2 linked regions of the Rattus norvegicus genome follow. The protein of the gene in region 1 purifies or fractionates together with the protein of each later gene. This does not show direct contact. Links are inferred from orthologs where the notes say so. Each region holds a gene or a part of one and is shown on either strand. Other genes may lie near its edges.

Region 1 (3,815 bases):
CAGCAGCCAGATAAACTGTTACCTCCAGAGAAACCTCCTCATAATTTTCATGTACTTTTTAGCATGAGCAGTTTTCACGTGATCAGCGTAGGAGGGAGGTAAATAATAGTTCAGTGCAGGATCAGGAACATGGGGAAGGCCCAGCTCTGATGACCCTGTCTCTCCAGCCAGCTGCCGGTAGCCCCAGTGGACGATGTACCTGTGGTTCAGATGGCAGCCGAGATCCTGAAAGCAGAGGACGAGTTACAGGTATGTGTGCTGTCAACACTATTATACACTGCATAGCAGAGGAACAGCATTGAGGTACAGTGGTGCATACTTTTAATCCCAGCACATGGAGCCCAGAGGCAGGCAGATTCTGAGTTCTAGGCCAGCCCAGTCAACATAGTGAGTTCCAGGACAAGCAGGGCTTCAGAGTGAGACCTTGTCTCAGAAAAATAACATAGTAGAAGAGGCTACCAGCTCTCTTCTATGAACAGGGTGGGATACAACACTATCTCCCATCCCCTAAAGCTGCCTCCCTGTCTGGGTTTACTTTAAGGAAAGAGTGAGCGGGGCTCTCCCTCACCCAGAACCTCACTACAAGGTGATGCTGACTTTCTCTCCAGGAGGGAATTTTGAATTCCTTGAGCCCTTCAGCTTTCACAAGTTTTCCAGACGGTGAGCTGGTAACCCCTCCAATCGAGCCGATGCCGGAGCCTTCCCCTCAGGGGCCAGAGCCTCTCTTGGACAGCGAGCCAGTGACCCCTCCAGTCAAGCCAGTGCTGGAACCTACTCCTCAGGGGCCAGAGCCTCTCTTGGACAGTGAGCCGGTGACCCCTCCAGTCAAGCCAGTACTGGAACCTACCCCTCAGGGATCAGAGCCTCTCTTGGACAGTGAGCCAGTGACCCTTCCTGTTGAACCAGTGCCAGAGTCTTCCCATCAGGGACCAGAACCTCTCTTGGACAGTGAGCCAGTGACCCTTCCTGTTGAACCAGTGCCAGAGTCTTCCCATCAGGGACCAGAACCTCTCTTGGACCCAAAGGAAGAGAGCTTTAGAGACCCAGCAGAAGGTATGTGGCATAAATGCATTTTTAAAAGTGATAATCTTTTCTCTGTACTGGCTAGCTCTCAAATAAATGAAACAGACTATAAGATTTATAAGCTTTATAGTACAGTAGCTGAGCAGTTATTAATCTGTTTTATTACTCTAAACTAATCTGGCTACTTCCCAGCCAAAACACTTGCATTTTAGTATCAGTCTGGCCCCTTGGTGTCTCTTTTTCGCCTGTGGAATCTAGTCCCTCTTTCACTCCCTCCCCCAATCCTCGGTCTTGGAAGTTCAACCCTATTAGCCGATCAGCTTTTATTGACAAGTCTGAGAGTAAGTGGGGAGCAATATTTACACAAAATTCAGGCAGGAGATACTTAAAATGATCATTACAGTGTCTTGTCCAGATTGCAGCCAAATATGGGGGGGGGAGAGGGAGGTTCGTCAGCACTTGAATAAAGGATCAAGGATAATCTTTACAGATTACAATAGCATTATGCCTACACTGTGGCCCCAAGGTGTCACCATAGGTTTCTCTGAAAGTCCCTGTGGACACTTACGTACCTGCAGGTTCCAGGCAGTTATTCCACAGGCTTTTCCCTGACAAACTTTTGCTCCCAGCCAAGCATGGTGACACCTTTAATCCCAGCATTGGGTAGGCAGATGCAGAAGGATCTCTTGAGTTTGGGGCCAGCCTGGTCTACAAAGCCAATTCCAAGCCCCGGCTGTCACACAGAGAAACCCTGTCTCTAGAAGGGGAAGGTGGGAGAATCAGCTTTTGGTCCTTAAAAGATGGGGCAGTGTCTTAGGGTTGCTATTGCTGTGATGAAACACTATGGCCAGCCTGCTAGTGGTGACACAGGCTTTAATTCCAGCACAGGTAGGCAGATCTCTGTGAGTTCAAGGCCAGTCTGGTCTACACAGTGAGTTCCAGACAGCCAGGGTTTCACAAAGAAATTCTGTCTCAAAAAAACACAAAAAGAAATTCAGGGTCCTCTTGAGAGTTCAAGGCCAGCCAGACTAGAGAGCCAGTCAGTCCCCAGAATGAAAAAGTCGGGTCTTTATCCATGGATTTCACATCTTCTCATTCAGTCAACGTTGGGTAGAATTTTTAAGTGTCTTTATTGAATACGAAAAGGGAAAGAAAGTACTTTTTCTTCCTGTATAAAATTGGGGGCTCCTTTTGAGGTCTATCCCGATGGGGCTTCTCTGGTAGCCACACATCGTTGGAAACGCCTCGTATAGTAACTTGTGGTTTTACTTGACTCATGACTATTCGTTAGGTCTGTGGGAAGGAACTACAAGACAGCAAACAAAAAAACAATTGGGGGCTCACCTAGGGCTTTCTTCATAGAAGCAGAGAAGCTGCTAGTTTGGGTGCTGGAACCAATCTCGGAATTTATTTCAAAGAACAGTGATCCCACTCTGTTGAATACTTTGGGCATGTGGCCCTCAGAACCTGCGGTACTTGGGGGAATGGCTAATACCACTCATTGTTTCAGTTCTAGGTGCTGGTGCTGAAGTGGATTATCTGGAGCAATTTGGAACTTCCTCGGTAGGTACTTGCCCGTTATGACAGCCTCGACTGCAATGTGTAAATCAGTCAGCCTAGGCCACTTATCCTTGGCTCCTGGAGCATCCTTTAGTTCCTGTACTGTGTCTGGTCAAGGCTGCATGTAAGAGCCCTTGCCTTACAACAGTGTCCTGACCCAGGTGTCCCCTCACTCCCAGATAATCCTGGACCTATCGGGGTGTGTTGTGGTCTCCCCAGCCCACTTTGCTCAACAAGGTCATCCTGGCTTCTGGTATCTGTTAAATCAATGATGAATCCTGTTACTTTTCCTTGTCCCATCTCCAACTCTCAGTTCAAGGAGTCAGCCTGGAGGAAGCAGTCTTTGTACTTGAAATTTGACCCCCTTCTGAAAGAGAGCCCTTTGCGGTCAATGCCAGTGCCAGTGGCCCCAGTGACAAATAGGTATGTTCCTCCTTTGAAGCTGTTAGCATGAGCCAAGGAATCTAGTGGCTGTTACTAAATGTACTGATTGAAAACTTGTGGGAAAAGGCTAATCTCAGCTAAAATGAGTGATGGTAATAGACAAACAGGACTCTGAGCCTAGAGCCAGCCTCATCGATCAGGTAGTCCGTGTTTTAGTAAGGTACTCTGCCATGCTCTTCACACAGCCACACAAGCAATGATTGCACAGGAGGGCACGAGCCTGGGCCAGGCCAGACAGTCTGTTTGTATGAGTGGACTTCAAAGGCCTGTTCCTTCATGCATCGTCTATGACGACTTGTATTATAAAGGCAGATCCGGGGGTTGGGGATTTAGCTCAGTGGTAGAGCAGGTCCTGGGTTGGGTCCTCAGCTCTGGGGGGGGAAAAAAAAGGTAGATCCGAATTGTTGTGACAGAAACCATAGGGCCTTCAAATCTGACATCTGTGGAAAACCCAGGCTGATAACTAGTACTTTAGAAGAAAATATAATCAAATATTACTGAGAATTATGTGCTAAATCTAACACAAGACCCTTGAGCCCAGGGAAGGAAAGATTTGTCCCCTCTAACTAGGTATTAACCCTGTACATTCTGAGGACTCCGCAGTAGGGCATCTGCACTGTCTGCACAGCTTGCTATGAGCCAGGGAAGCACGGCATTGCCTCACAGGGACAGTGAGGGGCAGGTGGCAGAGGGGGCTGGAGGCAGCAACTGCCAGGCCTAGTTCTCCAGTCCCAACTCCTAGTCTCTGTCTTGTTTGTATTTGTTTTTAGACCAAGACCCAAACACAA
Region 2 (3,027 bases), on another chromosome or scaffold:
TGAGGGAATGAACCATTCTGGCACAATCCCTCCCCCCCATGCCCCATCCTCACTCCACCCTAGGGTTCCACAGCTCTCTGAACCCATGGCCACTTTGGAATCATCCGTTTGCATCGTTGAAAAGAGTGCGCCCAGGCCCCTGAGAGGAGCCAGAGGCTTCTGGTCCTGTGGTGTCGTGGTTGTCCCCTCCCGTGGTCCCCGCCCCCCTTCCCCCTCTGCTTGGTTTGGGGACTGAAGCGGCTTCTTTTCCTCTGTACAGGCAGCCTGAACATTTGGAGCGCCGGGTCTCCAATGCAGGTGATGGCTCAGTGACTGGGTCACGGGGACCTCCCTGGAGGAGAGGGTTGGGCAGGCAGGACACAATATCCTGCCTCTCTCTCAGCAATACCCTTCTTTGTGTTTACTGTAGGAGGCCCACCTGCTCCCCCAGCTGGGGGCCCACCTCCACCTCCAGGACCTCCCCCTCCTCCGGGTCCCCCCCCACCCCCAGGTCTGCCCCCCTCAGGGGTATCTGGGGCAGGTCATGGAACAGGTGTAGCCCCACCCCCTGCACCCCCACTCCCTACAGCACAGGGCCCCAGTAGTGGGGGTTCCGGGGCCCCAGGCCTGGCCGCTGCCATTGCTGGAGCCAAACTCAGGAAAGTGAGCAAGGTAGGAAAGTGGATGGGAGTGGCTGGGATGAAGCCCTGAGGGAACAATGGGAGGTGGTCAGAGTCCCCCATAGGTGTCACAAGAGGGCTGGGAGGTCACCTGGCCTACCTGTGAAGCCTTCTCCCCCTTTTTCATTCCTTCAGCAGGAGGAGGCCTCTGGGGGGCCCCTGGCCCCCAAAGCTGAGAATAGTCGAGGCACTGGTGGGGGGCTTATGGAAGAGATGAACGCCATGCTGGCCCGGAGGTGAGCCTGAGTCCCTTAGAAGTCATCCGCCCACATGCTGCAGTTTCAGGGTTAGGCTGCTGGAGTGCTGATTGGCCCCCTCCCCTTCCTGTCTTTTCATGTCTAGCCCAGGCTGAACTTCCACCTGCACCCAGCTTCTCTGTGTCTTTGGCGGTGCTGTCTGATGACAGCCATGCCCAGGACACCATGCTGGAGACTCATCCCCAGGTGGCTCACAGTCTGGAAAGTGCTCTCACACTCCCTGTTTGAGCCATGGGAGATTCCGCTTGAACGTCCTGGAAGCTTAGGTTCTTAGACTCTCAGCTTGCTGACCTAGAAGCCTCCTCACCCTTATAGTTCTTGTGATTTTCAGTCTTGGAATTATGGGGGACCCCTCCAGATCCTAGAGGCGCAATCTCTAGGCTGGATTTTTCCTTAAATTTTCAGGGTTTTTGTTGTTGTTGTTGTTGTATATACGAGTGTACCCATGGCTCCCTGGAAGAGTTGTTTGTCTCCTTCCACTGTGTGGGTTCTGGGAATTGGAGTCAAGATGTCAGGTTTAACAGCAAGCACCTGGGGGCCGGAGAGATGGCTCAGCGGTTAAGAGCACTGACTGCTCTTCCAGAGGTCCTGAGTTCAATTCCCAGCAACCACATGGTGGCTCACAGCCATCTGTAATGGAATCTGATGCCCTCTTCTGGTGTGTCTGAAGACAGACAGTGTACTTATATACAATAAATAAATAAATCTTAAAAATAAAAATAAAAACAGCAAGCACCCTTCCTTACTGAACCATCTCAGCCCTAAACTGGGTGGTGCTGCTGAACATCAGCCCTGGCTAGGCTGGAACTTAGAATGACTCTCCTGCCTCTGCCTATCCCATACTGGGATTGCAGGCTTGGACCATGCTTTCCCAAGAGGGTTTTTGTTTTGTCTTGTTTTGTTTTGATTTTGAGACAGTCTCTCATTATGTAGACCAGGGGGGCTTTGAACTCACAGAGATCTGCCAGCATCTCATTTTTAAAAGTATTATTACGTTTATTTATTCATTGCGTTTGTCCATGTGGAGGTTAGAGGATAATCTGCAAGACTCAGTTCTCTACTTCACCTTCACATGGGTCCTTGGGGTTCGATCAGGGGATTCAGCTTGGCGGCGGGAACTTCTAGCTGCTGAGCCATCTCGCAGGCCCCTTTAACTTTTCAAACAATCCTGGAATTTAGCAGTGGGAAGGGGTCCTATTGAGTGTGGGGCGTGAACTGTAGCTTGCCCTTGCTTGCCCCTCTGCAGAAGGAAAGCCACACAGGTTGGGGAGAAGCCCCCCAAAGACGAGTCAGCCAGTGTAAGTACGGGTTCTTCCTGCTCTATATTCCTTATGATGTACGCTGGTGCCCTAGGGCAGGGAGGAGGTGTGATGTGGCAGGGTTGAGCTGGCTTTGGACCTGGAAGAGGAACATGGGCATAAAAGGGTCCGTTTATGATACTTCTATTTACCGCCAGCAGGAGGAGTCAGAGGCCCGAATCCCTGCCCAAAGTGGTGAGTGACAGACAGCCCTGTCTATACATAGAAACTACAAATCCCATGATGCATTGTTCTTGGCTTTGCAAGCACTACAGGGGGAAATCTGTGAAAACAGTACTCAGTTTTATAGTTTTCTAAAATTCTTTGACCTAGTGGGTTGAGTGCTAAGTGGTGGTGGTATGGTACTGTGATGGCAATGCTTGTCTCTGATCTTTATTTGTTGCCCCACCACCCTCCCAGAACCTGTGCGAAGACCCTGGGAGAAGAACAGCACAACCTTGCCAAGGTAGGGTCATGGCTGTTGGGGAGGAACATAATATAGCCCCGGGATAGGAAAAGAGGGAGGCAACCTACCACCCTACCTCACTCCTGTCCGACTCTTCCAGGATGAAGTCATCCTCTTCTGTGACTACCTCCGAGGCCCACCCCTCTGTGCCCAGCTCCAGTGATGACTCCGACTTGGAGAGGGTGAAGCAGGTAGCTTGGGGAAAAATGTCAGGAGAGACAGCCCTGACTCCAGAATGGTTGTAGGAAAGGCTCAGAAACCTCTTCTAGCCCGAGAAAAGGAGTTGGTGGGTGGGGTCCAAGGGTGACAGACACCCACACTTTTCCAGTAGCTCTAACAGGCCTTAC

Evidence for each region.
Region 2: the proteins of Tacc3 (region 1) and Vasp purify together in Homo sapiens (co-immunoprecipitation; 3 studies listed by BioGRID and IntAct, with this or other methods). This does not show direct contact. The link is inferred for Rattus norvegicus from reciprocal best matches to the Homo sapiens genes TACC3 and VASP.

The regions. Positions count from the first base shown.
Region 1 is NC_086032.1:81,279,556-81,283,370, reverse strand, and holds part of Tacc3 (transforming acidic coiled-coil-containing protein 3), read left to right. Parts: intron 1-167; coding exon 168-249; intron 250-608; coding exon 609-1,053; intron 1,054-2,213; exon of another isoform or gene 2,214-2,342; intron 2,343-2,533; coding exon 2,534-2,586; intron 2,587-2,896; coding exon 2,897-3,006; intron 3,007-3,797; coding exon of another isoform or gene 3,798-3,815. UniProt on the Homo sapiens protein: Plays a role in the microtubule-dependent coupling of the nucleus and the centrosome. Involved in the processes that regulate centrosome-mediated interkinetic nuclear migration (INM) of neural progenitors.
Region 2 is NC_086019.1:88,039,936-88,042,962, reverse strand, and holds part of Vasp (vasodilator-stimulated phosphoprotein), read left to right. Parts: intron 1-259; coding exon 260-297; intron 298-409; coding exon 410-651; intron 652-794; coding exon of another isoform or gene 795-797; coding exon 798-895; intron 896-2,162; coding exon 2,163-2,214; intron 2,215-2,372; coding exon 2,373-2,409; intron 2,410-2,634; coding exon 2,635-2,680; intron 2,681-2,780; coding exon 2,781-2,871; intron 2,872-3,027. UniProt on the Homo sapiens protein: Ena/VASP proteins are actin-associated proteins involved in a range of processes dependent on cytoskeleton remodeling and cell polarity such as axon guidance, lamellipodial and filopodial dynamics, platelet activation and cell migration.